Callithrix jacchus: one gene and its partners. The protein of the gene in region 1 interacts with the protein of each later gene in a pairwise test. Links are inferred from orthologs where the notes say so. Each region holds a gene or a part of one and is shown on either strand. Other genes may lie near its edges.

What was found.
Region 2: the proteins of EEIG1 (region 1) and SH3GL1 interact in binary tests that used the Homo sapiens proteins (3 or more experiments, as listed by UniProt). The two-hybrid records come from large-scale screens. The link is inferred for Callithrix jacchus from reciprocal best matches to the Homo sapiens genes EEIG1 and SH3GL1.
Region 3: the proteins of EEIG1 (region 1) and SKAP1 interact in binary tests that used the Homo sapiens proteins (3 or more experiments, as listed by UniProt). The two-hybrid records come from large-scale screens. The link is inferred for Callithrix jacchus from reciprocal best matches to the Homo sapiens genes EEIG1 and SKAP1.

The regions. Positions count from the first base shown.
Region 1 is NC_133502.1:176,605,138-176,609,290, forward strand, and holds the start of EEIG1 (early estrogen-induced gene 1 protein), read right to left. Parts: upstream 2,900-4,153; 5' UTR 2,064-2,899; coding exon 1,918-2,063; intron 1-1,917. UniProt on the Homo sapiens protein: Key component of TNFSF11/RANKL- and TNF-induced osteoclastogenesis pathways, thereby mediates bone resorption in pathological bone loss conditions.
Region 2 is NC_133523.1:4,108,012-4,111,616, forward strand, and holds part of SH3GL1 (endophilin-A2), read right to left. Parts: exon of another isoform or gene 3,404-3,605; coding exon 3,270-3,403; exon of another isoform or gene 3,055-3,269; coding exon 2,896-3,054; exon of another isoform or gene 2,677-2,895; coding exon 2,573-2,676; coding exon of another isoform or gene 2,499-2,572; intron 1,991-2,498; coding exon 1,866-1,990; intron 1,644-1,865; coding exon 1,587-1,643; intron 1,101-1,586; coding exon 904-1,100; 3' UTR 1-903. UniProt on the Homo sapiens protein: Implicated in endocytosis. May recruit other proteins to membranes with high curvature.
Region 3 is NC_133506.1:117,853,333-117,857,381, reverse strand, and holds the start of SKAP1 (src kinase-associated phosphoprotein 1), read right to left. Parts: upstream 2,866-4,049; 5' UTR 2,760-2,865; coding exon 2,714-2,759; intron 1-2,713. UniProt on the Homo sapiens protein: Positively regulates T-cell receptor signaling by enhancing the MAP kinase pathway. Required for optimal conjugation between T-cells and antigen-presenting cells by promoting the clustering of integrin ITGAL on the surface of T-cells.

The DNA of each region.
Region 1 (4,153 bases):
ACCACAAGGGGCAGCCCTTGTCCAAATTCCTCAGATAAGCAGCTCCCAGCAGAACAGGGAGCCAATGTTCAGAAAAGGCACCCCACCCGGTCCACAACAGATTCCTAAACCTGACTTAGGCTGTGCAGTTCCCCTCCCTTCCCTTCCTCCCAGCAAAGCATTTGACCTCTGGATTCATCCAAGAGGTCCCCAAACTGGCCAAGTTCAGTAAACAACAGACTCCTTCAAGGTCCCTGGCAAGCCACTGACTTCCTCTTTCTGGGCCTCAGTTTCTCCACCTATAACACACCCAATGGGCTCTCAGAACAGTGAGGCAGCTCTGGCTAACAGGGCCCACAAGGAGGCCCAAGGAGCAAAGAGCAGACCAGGTAGGGAAGCAGCACTTCCCAGGCACTGGGCCAGGTCCTGCCTGTATTGTATTTTATTTCATTTTAATTTTTTAAAAATAGAGACAGAGGTTGGGCACAGTGGCTCACACTTGTCAACCTAGCATTTGGAAGGCTGAGGTGGGTGGATCATTTGAGGTCAGGAGTTCAAGGCCAGCTTGGCCAACATGGTGAAACACCATCTCTATTAAAAACACAAACAAATTAGCCAGTTGTGGTGGCACGCAACTGTAATCTCTGTTACTCGGGAGGCTGAGGCAGGAGGATCGCTTGAACCCAGGAAGTGGAGGTTGCAGTGAGCTAAGATCGTGTCACTGTACTCCAGCCCAGACAACAGTGTGAGACTCCATCTCAAAAAAAAAAAAAAAATTAAATTAAATTAAAATAAAAACACAAAAATTAGCTGGGCATGGTAGTGGCTGTCTGTAGTCCCAGCTACTCCAAAGGCTGAGACATGAGAATTGCTTGAACCCGGGAGGTGGAGGTTGCAGTGAGCCAAGATGGCTCCACTGCAGTACAACCTGGGCAACAGAGTAAAACTGTGTCCTCCCAAAAAAGAAAAAAAAAAAAGAGAGATGAGAATCTCCCTATGTTGTCCAGGCTGGTCTTGAACTCCTGGCCTCAAGTGAGTCTTCCATGTCGGCCTCCCAAAGTGCTGGGATTATAGGCATAAGCCATGGCGTCCGGCCTGCCCCGAGTTCTAGCTGCTGCAGCTTCTCCACCTGTATTAGGCCCACTTTCCAGAAGAGAAGGTCCAGAAAGTAACAGAGTCAAAAGTCACACCCCCATCTGTAGGGCTCCAAGGCTCTTCTGACACAGGCCAGGACGATGTGACCCCAGGTGGGCCCGGTCAGCAAAGGACAGCCTAGGAACTCAGTTGCATTCAGCAATAAGCTGGGCAGCTGGACCTGCCAGGATGGGGACGAACAACACAAAACCAAACTAAACGGAGCCTCTTTCAGAGAAGGCAGCAGCCTCCTAGACAAGGTCATTTGCAATGCAAAGCAGCCCAGCGCCAGCCAGAGGAGGACAGTCACTCGGAGGGTGCTGGGTAGGCCAAAATCCAGCCACCTCCCTCCAGCCAGACCAGGGAATGCCAGCCATCAGGCCTACCCAGGCACCTGGGGGTGCCGAGGAACCCGTGGCTGGCCTGGACTCTAAATCATATGACAGGCCAGTTCCGGTACAAGGTGGCCTGGAACACCCCTCCCCTGCACACCCTCTTAGGGTGCAAATCCCTGACAGGCTGTACCTGCAAATCTGCAGAATGGGCCTATCGCAAGCAGCAGGCAGGGCCCCAAGAGGGAGCTGAAAGATTAGACCCCCAGGTATCTGGCTGGCGGCTGCCTGGCACCCTGCCAACTTCCTCAGGCCCAGTTCTGCCTTGTGCAACCTGCCCCAGGCACACATAATCCCCCGGACCCTCCCCACCCCGGCCCCAAAGGGCCCTTCTACACTTGCCAAGTGGCTAGATTTCGCTCATCACCCCCGCCCCCGCCCCCCTTGCAGGCGCGACGGCCCCAGCTCTTACCTTGACGACAAGCTGACAAAATCCCCTCCATCCAGCAGCCGGACCTTGCAGAAGAGGACCCCGTTCACGAAGGGGACCGCAGTCAGCTCCTCCAGGGTGAAAGTGGTTTGGAATTTGAATTTCTTCTTCTTCATCAAGAAAGCCATGAGCGAGTTCCCTGAGTCTGAAGCCCCGAGGGCCAAAAAAGGTGGGGAGGGACGGGATTTCTTTCCGTACACCACACCCCCTCCTCAAAACACCAGAGCCGGATCCCGCCCAGATGGTGGCGGAGGCGGCGGAGATCGGAGTCCCGGGCCCCAGGTCTGAGCGACCGACCAGTCCAGTTAGCGGGCCGGCGGGCTTCACCCTCGGGGAGTCGGGGCTCGGAGGGGTTCGGAGCGGCCGGGTACCTCACCGGCATGTAAACAGCGGGGCATGGCCCAGGAGGCAGAGGCAGAGGCGGGGGTGCCGGACTGCGGGCGAGCGGCCGCGCTGGCGGGCAGCATCCCGAGCCGCGATCCCCGGGGAGCTCACGCCGCGCGGCCGGGCGCGACGGGCGGACTGGTGAGACTGAGAGAGGCTGCCGGGCTGGCCGGTAAGGCAGAGGGCGGAGGGAGGCCCCGCCCCCGCTCCGCTGGCGGCCGGGGGAGGCGCCCTCGCTGCTCACGCCCCCGCACCTGGGTGCGGGGAGGCCAGGGCAGGTGAGGCCCGGGAAAGCGGGACACCCCCAGGGGGTGGCCGGGAGCTTTGGGCCTCTCCGGGAGGCGCGTCGGGGTCGCTGCGGGCCGGGAACGTCCGGACGCGGGTCTCCTACGGGCAGGCACCGGGCCGGCCCCGGGCAGAGGGGGCGCCGCCTCCTCCTTCGTCCTAGGACCCGCGCTGCGGGCCCCGGCGAAGCTGAGGTGCCCTTCGGCCCGGCCGTTGGCGTCCGCCTCGCCCAGCACACCGCGAGCAGCAGCGCCGCCCCCTGCGCCCCCAACGCTGCAGCCAGAGCCCGGAGAATGCCTGGGCCCGGAGCGACCGCCAGCCGAGCCGCCGCCAAGCGCGGCAGAGGCGGGGCGCCGGCAGCTCAACCCGCCCGCGATTGGGCTGCCCGGTGAAGCGGGCGCGCGGCACGATTGGCGGGTGGTGGCGTGGGGCGGGACTCGCGGGAGGCAGAGCGGCTCGGGGCTCTCGGATTGGTGCGCCGCGCGGCCGGGCCCGCCTCCTCGGGCAGGGCGGAGCTGAGGGAAGGGAGAGGGCCCCTCGTAAGGCAGTGGGAGGTCGCGGGGTTGGCGGGGCCGGGAGAGCGCGAGCAGAAGAAAAGAAGAAACAATGACGAGTGGAAACAATTTGTGGCTGCAACGGGCTTCCAGGGTCCCGCCAGACTTGAGCTCGTAGAACCCTAAAGCTGGCCCGGAAGGTAGCGAGTCTCCTTTCTCAGAAAGCTGGAACACAGAGAGAGCCCCTGGCGGGTCCGCTAGCTCTCCCGAAATCTCTAGTGCCCCTCAGCACTGAGCAGAGAAACGTCTGGAAGGCTTCGCCGAGGAGGTGGCTCTGGCGCAGTCTATCACGCAGCCTTGTGACCCAGTTTGTAACGTTCCAAGCTGTTATCTAAGCCTTCTGTTGTCCTTTAATTCCTTGCCCGGCGTGGCTGATCTCACTGACTACGTTAGCTGTTCTGAGGGCAGAGCCCACCTCCAAAGCCTCGTACCTCCCAGGCCCCTCGGCATTTTGTGGTTCATTCATCCAGTCCCCATATGTTTAGGGGCAGTCTCCGCTGAGCCAGGCTGGGACTTAGTGAGGAACCTGGTGGGTTTGCCCTTTCCAAATGCCCCAAGCTCAAGACCAGGTGGGCAGACAGGGACACAGGCAGCGACAAATCTATAGGTAACAGTTGTAACAGGGTACATACAGGGAACCAGGGGAGCTCAGAGGAGGCACCTGACACGGGTTGGGACGCAGACTCAGAAGACTTCTCAAACAAAGGGACCCGAGCCATCCACAGGATGCGTGCCCTGAGTCACCAGAGTCCAGACTCTCCTGGTGGCTGGAGAGCCTGGTGCTCGCAGAATTTCCGGCACCTATGCGTGGTTGTACTGTTGCAGTTTGAGAGAGGGGCAAGAGATAGGGCTGGAAAGGCCAGATCTCCCAGAGTCTTGTAGACTGAAAGGAGGAAAACGCAGAAACACGTCAAGATAGAGAATGACCTGGTCAGATTTGCTTTTTTTTTAAGACAAATTTTCACTCTTTTTGCCCAGGCTGGAGTGCAATGGTG
Region 2 (3,605 bases), on another chromosome or scaffold:
TTTTTCTGTCCTCAGGCAGAGCTACCCCAAGGATCGCAGGTGGCCTCTGTCCCCAGGCTGCAAGCTGCCATCAGGCCTGGGAAGTGATGAGGGCCTCTGCCCTGACCTTGTGCTTGGCCCTCATCACAAGGAGTGTGTGTGCGTGAGGCAGGGGTACAGTGGCCCTGGAGTGGGACCAGGGCCCATCGCCAGCACCAGGCTGGGAGGGGATTTAAAAGCAGGATTTAGGCCAGGTGCAGTGGCTCACTTTGGGAGGCCAAGGCAAGCAGATCATGAGGTCAGAAGTTCGAGACCAGCCTAACATGGACAAACCCTGTCTCTACTAAAAATATAAAATTAGCCGGGCATGGTGGTGCGTGCCTGTAATCCTAGCTACTGGGGAGTCTGAGGCAGGAGAATCGCTTGAATCCGGGAGGTGGAAGTTGTGGTGAGCCAAGATCACACCACTGCACTCCAGCCAGGGCAACAAGAGCGAAACTCTGTCTCAAAAACCAGGGTCCTGTCTGAGCCACCCCGTAGGGACACTCAATCCCATCCTGTTAAGGCCGCAGCACTCGAGGGCAGGCAGTGGGCCGGGCCCCCGTGAGATCAGGACGGAGAGGGGGACCGCCCAGAGGAACTTTAGTGTTTCTGAGAGCACCGTAGTGTTGCCCCACCTCGGCCAGCGCCATGGAGTTGGGAAGGGAGCCATCACCACTGAGGGTCAGCACTAGTGTAAACAGGCATCCCCAGCCATGCAGATAAGCCCCCCAACCCAAGTGTGGAGCCCTGCTCAGGGAGTACCTCAAGGGCGCCGACAGGCTGGGACACCGCCCTGGCAGGAGGGACCCCGTAGAATGCAGGAGACCCAGCAGGGGGTGGCGGCCAGTGTGGACGGAGGGGCAGGGTGTGGGCACCGGCCAGTCACTGTGGCAGAGGCACGAGCACCGCCACGTAGCTGAGCGGGAAGAAGCCCGACTGGCCGTCCAGCATGCCCTCGTACCAGTTCTCATCGATCTGGTTGGTCAGCGTGATGACGTCGCCCTCTCGGAAGCCCAGCTCCCCGTCATTCTCAGGCTCAAAGTCATACAGCGCCTTGCAGCTCGGCTGGTCCAGGGGTGCTGGGGGCGGGAGCAGGCTGTGGGGCTAGCGCCTAGGCTGGGGCTCCTATAACCCACCCCACCCCACCCAGCCTAGGGTCTCAACTCAGACCTGCTGTGGCCTGGAGCCTGTGGGTGGGTGGAGGCCACCCGCTGCCACTTCTGGGGTCCAGCCTCTACTGCCACCCAGGAGGGAGGACGGGAGAGTCTTGGTAAGTGGTCACCACAGCTGCTCCTATGAGGTACTAGGGACACCCAGTGCTGCTGGGGTGACAAGGAATGACCAGACACCCTCAACCCTTAAAGCCACCACACAGCCTAGAGCTGGGCTGATGCCCTTGGCAGTCACAGCAGCAGGGACATGGCAGTTCCTCATTCACACAGTGAGGTGGCGTGTTGCAAGGTGTGGGCCTGTGCCCGAGCCTGTCTCCTTCCTTGGGTTGGGCAGAGGACCAGGGTGGAAGGTGGAAGGCAGCACTGAGGCTGTGGCGGGCCTGGGACACTCACGCATGCTCCTGCTAGGGGTCCGGATGGGCTTGTCGGAAGATCGGAAAGACGACGAAGCTAAACATAAGCAAAACGCAGAGGCTGTGGCTCAATATGGTGGGGCAGGGCCTCCTCTGCAGTAAGCCAGGGCCAGCCCTTGCCGTCCGCCTTGGTGGTCCAGATGGAGCAGAGCTGAGAGCTGTACCCAGGGGCCTGGTGCAGAGACCCAAGACAGGCCCAGCCCTCAGCCACCCTACCCGCTGGCATCCACCTCCAGAAGATGGCTCCACGCCCCATTACCTGTGATCTTGGGGGCTGAGGTGCAGGGGAGGCCCCCGTTGGACTGCTCAGGCTCTCCGAGGTCAAAGGGCTCCCGGGGCTTGGGCTTATACTCCCGCTTGGGGCGAGAGGAAGCTTCCCGCATCCTGTGAAGGGAGAGGCAGCCCCACCCTTGTGTTTACACCACTGCCTAATGACCTAGCTCGGGAGAGGGCGGCAGTGGGGTGGTGACACCCAGACTCTGGAACGTGACTCAACTGGGATGTCTACCCAGAGGGCCTCCAGCCTGGACCCCCACTTTGGGGGCGCCTCAGAGGCTGGCGAGCAGCTGCGTCCTGCTACAGTCTCTACCTGCAGGGCCCCCAGTCACATCCCTCCTGCCTCCTCCCTGCTTTCCCACCACAGCTGGTGCCTGACACATGCCAAGGCCCTGAAGCAGGTTGAGAGACGGGAGCCTGGGTGTCCTTGAGGCAGCAGAAAGTACAGCCAGGGAGGGGACAGGCACGTGATCAGGAGTCCAAGGGCCTGCGTCGGGGGTAGGGCTTGGTGTTTCAGAGTTCTCAGTCCCCTGGCTCCTCTGACCTCAAAGCCCTCAGTCCTCTGGGGACCAGCCCCTCCCTGCACTTGGACTTGACCCGGGCACTGTTCTGCCAGGCACTCACGGGAGCAAGGTGTGCTGCCCACACCCACCGGCAGAGGGCGCGTGGCAGCACAGGGCCCCGGCTCACCTGCGCTTGAGCTTCTCCGCCAGCTCATCCAGGATCTGCACGGCTTGCCGGTGGTAGTCCAGCTGCGCGTCCACCAGAGCCGAGAGCTGACTCACCTGCTCGATCTGCGGGGACAGCAGGGCTCAGGGGCTCCTGCCAGCACAATTGTCCTGTACCCGCCCTGATTGCAAGGTAGATTCATAGGAGGCAGAGGGGCCTGGGGCCTGCACCCTGCACCCTCAACTGCCCCTGCTGCTGCGGCCAGGTTGCTGCCACCTCCATCCTTCAACTCCCTTGAGGCCCCCAAGCTGGCCTCCCAAGGACACGGCGCCCCGGAAACTCACATCCGTCCCCAGGAGGTTGTGCATGCTGGTTTCCGCCACCTCCTTGGACTCCTCAAACTTCTCCAGTGCCTGGCGCAGCTCCTCATCAGGGATCTTGCCCTGCCGTTTCTTCTTGTAGTCAAAGTCCAGGCGGCGGCCCTCCAGCTTCTTCAGGTGGTGCTGGGGACAGTGGAGGACACAGGTTACATCGGCAACAGCTGGAGGTCTGCCCCATGCATGGTGTGACCCACCATCCCTGCACCACGGGCACTCGCCTGCCTGAGCGAGACCCAGAGGGCAGTGCCGAAGCTGGAGTGGCGTAAGGGTGGCGGAACGGGGCCTGCCCCACCCAGCAGGGCGAAGGGACAGGCCTGGGGCTGACGCAGGGGCAGCACCTGGATCTCCTTCAGGTCCTTCTCGCACAGGTTCTGGAGGGGGTCGATGAAGTTCTGCTTGACCTCTATGTCCAGGGAGTCCTTCACCTCTGCCAGGCGCTTCATAGACTCACCAGCATCCAGCAATGCATCACCTGTGGAGAAGCAGTCGGGGAAGCCATCACAGTGGACCTGGGACCGCGGGACTGAGAGTCTCCTTAGCTGTTTTTGAGACAGGGTCTTGCTCTGTTGCCCAGGCTGGAACACAGTGGCGCAGTACTACCTAACCACAGCCTCCAACTGGGCTCAAGCCATGCTGGCACCTCAGCCTCCCGAGTAGCTGGGACCACAGGTGTG
Region 3 (4,049 bases), on another chromosome or scaffold:
TAGTGGCTGCGAAATATTCTGTAAGACGAATGTCCCATAATTCATTCAATCATCACCCTGAGTTTCCCAACTCATTAATATTTAGGATAGGTCTTTGTGCATATACTACTTTATGTCCTTTAAGTTTCAGTGACAGATTTTTAGAAGTGAGGTTTCTAGGTCAAGTGAAACATCTCCAATGTTTAAAATTTTATATTTAAACAAAATTCATTTTAGGCCTTGAGAATTTCTGTTTTCTTTTTCATTATGCAAAATTTTTTTATCAACCTTTCATAATACTTTACATATTTTATTCTTAAAAGCACATACATTATGTCAGAAAATACCCCTGTCACTTATGCTTACGTAGTTATAAATAAATAAATGCTTAAGTTATGACTGTGATATCCAGCGTTAAATCACTGTGCAAATGCTTATGCCTTGGTTTATCAAAGTCATAATTCATTGTGGAAATCCCACCCCCACAGCCATGTGGCAGCACTAGAGTTGCAGTCCTCACATCCTGTGACTCCCTCTCACAGAGTAACTATATAGACGTCAGGACCTCCACTTTTTCTAATTTCAACAGTTAACCTTAAAAAGCTTGTGATGGGAGAGACAAATAGCAAGAAACAACAAATTCATGGCCATTTTGGGTTTCTAATATCGACAAATTATTTGTAACACAATGAATAATGCTCCTGTACTACATCAGAGCCTATGTTCCATAAGAAATAAAAACCTATAACCAACATGTTGCTATTATTATTATAGGAACCTTTCAAAAACATAGTCTTGAAACATTTTTCAGTAGAATCACTGGATGAATCACACTTCACACTTCTTTTCTCTATTTCAGATTCAAGTTCTAATTGCAAACTTAAAACAAAAAAAGCCTAAAAGAAATACTTTAACCAACGAAGCTCCTTATAATTTAGTTTCAGACTCCTTCATATATTTTAAAGACCTGAGCACCAACAGAGATTGTTAAGACACAGCAAGTTTGATACAGAAGTATGTGACATGCAATTAATCTCCATTCATACCCTGCTCTACTTGTCAGCAAACAAAGGTTCTGCTTTAGAAGGAGATCTGAAGACTTCAATTAAAAACAGTCAGCTAACAAGAAAATAATCTAAGCTAAAGGAAGGTGGCAGGTGCAGAAATGAGTTGTTTACCAAAGTGTCAGTTCTGAACAATAAAGAACTGCACATCAAAAATGCTGAAGGAGTGAATTTCATTGCAAGCCTCTGAAAATAAAAAGGAATTTTCTACCAAAGCTAGACAAAAAACTGAATTAGAGTTTAACAAGCTTATAAAATAGGTTTCCTCTCATCAAATGACAGATACCAATAAAAATAATCACTTTATATCTTTCAATGCAAGGACAGAGTTAAATTTTTGCCACAGTTCCTTCTCTTAGAAACCAAAGACAATTACAGCTTTCCTTCACAAGACTAATATTAAACCAACAGCAGAGGGAAAGCCTGGAATGCTTCTTCTTAGACACCCAGATAATGCTCTTTTACCCTGCAAATACTTTTCTACCCGCAAAGTTTAGATTTATTCTCATCACCAGTAAAATGGATTTTGGAAACCTCTCCTCAAAATAAAGATCTAGTTGACAGCTTTTACATAGAGGCAATCCAGAATGGAAATAGTGCTACAAACAGAGACCAAAAGGACTTGCCAAATATTTGATTAGGAGGCATTTATACCGAGATAACAAGGTAATGGAGATATAAAACCAATTAAATTGAGAGAAACTGAAAAAAAAAAAAAACTGCTTGCCAAAAATATGACCTGCCCAGAGCAGGCCATCTGTTAAATATGTGTCAAATACGTCAACTTAGATGCCAAAAGGCTTAATTCTGAATAGTTTCCTCCTGGGACCTTATGCAACTGCAGATTCCAGGCCTCTGTCCTCCCTGGAAGGTTAGTCACAGGAATGCAAGTAAAAGTGACTTTCACCATGAAACCCAGCAGATGAAACTGCCCGTTAGCGACGTCTCTTTGCCGTATCTCTTTGGAGTGTTGGCAGAGTGTGTTGAGTGTTGGTGAGGATGGCCGCAACTCTTTAAACCGCTGCTTAGACCCTGTAGTTGGAAGGTGGACACACCACAATGGGAGCACTTCTAGAAAAGGAGTTAAGGCCATACTGGGAACGAGCCTGCCTTGGGGTGGGTGAGACCCCTAAACGTCTACAGGGTGATAAAGGGAGGGCCGGGGTTTTCGCTCTGACAAAATTCTGGTCAGCCACCGGGCCTTGGCCCATGGGGATCCCACCAGCCCCTCGGAGCCCCCCGGAGAACCGCAGGGGCCTCTAAGCAGGAAGGTTTGGGGTCTTCTGTGAGACGTGAGGAAGTCGGGGCTGGGGAACGAGGGGGACGGGAAACCCAGAGATGTAGGGGAGTACCTCGGAGGAAGGGACAGGGGGAGGACCAGGCCAGGTGGCATGGGGACCAAGAATCCGGCCTGAAGGAGTGTAGAAGCCTGGGAGGTGAAATGGAGGCGCCGCGGTGCCTCGAGGAAGATGTGGGACTCTAAGGAGTGAAAGGGGTCCTGAGGTGAGAGGATGGAAAGCTGGCTCTGGGGAGTTGAGGGCTCTAGAAACCTTGAGGTTCTAGAAGGAGGTGAGTGATGGAGCTGAAAAGAAAGCCCGGCCGTGGGAGGCCTGGTGTCTCCTCTCCTGCCTTCGGCTCAGCACAGGAGGGGGCCTGCGCCAGGGCGTTACCTTCCAGGAGCCAACGGATCTCCTCAGGGAGGGCGGCGGCCTGCATTTGGCTGGGCCAGAGGGAGGCGACGTGCGAGGCGGGACGGGGCGCGGGCCCTGGTCGGGAGGTGGATGGGCTGGAGGGCCACCCGGTTGCGCCGCGAGGCACCTGTACCTCAGCCGCGCTCGCTGCCAGCCCAGCCCGGCCGCGGGGCGGGGCCGTGGGTCCCGGGGCGCGTCAGGAAGTGGCGCGGGCGGCGGGCGGCGGGCGGCGGGCGGCGGGCGGCGGGCGGGGGCCCGGGACGGGGCGGCGTGGGTGCACGTGGCGCTCACGCCGGGGCCCAGCGGTAGAAGGATGGGGATGCCGGAAGCGCCGCACCCTGAGAGGCCGAAGGTGCGCCCCTCCAGCACCCACCAAAACAGAAGACTTCACAAGGCTCAAAGGAACCACGGCTTTGGAGACTCCATCCTAAAGCACCGAACAGTTGGCCTCGCGGTGGCAGACGTGAAGGACCACGGGGTGCCTGAGGGGTACCCGGAGGCAGAATCCAAGGAAGAGATGAATCCCCGGGACCCTCAATTGGCGTCCAGTTCGCACCTCCATCCCCAGAAAGGAGGGCAGATCATCACTCTTAGGGAAGCCACAATGTTGGAAGTCCCAATGAACAATATAAGGCCACCAACATTTGGGAGAATCGCCGCCGCAGCACGGCAGCAAGGGACGCAGGAAGCCAAACTGTGCCTTTCTCCTGTAGGCTGGAAAGGCCCTGAGGAAAGGAAGCGGTAACTCAGGGAGAAAGCCGAGGGTGAGGAGAACAAAAACCCTTTCCCTCCAAGAGCTGAGGAAGGGAGGAAAGTGAAGGACAAAATCACAGGGCCTCATTCAAGGTGCAGTGGGTGTCAGAGTCCCGGTTGTGACATGGTACTGTAATACTGCCAGATGTTACCCTTGGAGGAAACTGGCTAAAGGTACACAGAGCTTCTCTATTATTTCTTAAACTCTCTGTGAATCTACAATTCTCTCAAAATAAAGAGGTTTTTTAAAAATAAATAGGTCAACTGCCATGAAAAAAGTACAAAGTGCTATGGTTGATAAAATAAGGGAGTTGAATACAAGAAAAGGAGGGAAGAGGCCAGGCATTGTGGCTCACACCTGTAATCACAGCACTTTGCGAGGCTGAGGCAGGAGGATCGCTTGAGCCCAGGAGTCTGAGGTTACAGCAAACTGTGGTCACCCCAATGTACTCCAGCCTGGGCAACAGAGCAAGACCCTGTCTCTTAAAAAAGAAGAAAAAAAAAGGAAATGCCAGTGTGCATGTGAGTGTTTAAAGGTCCATGTGGTGTTTGAGATGGGCTC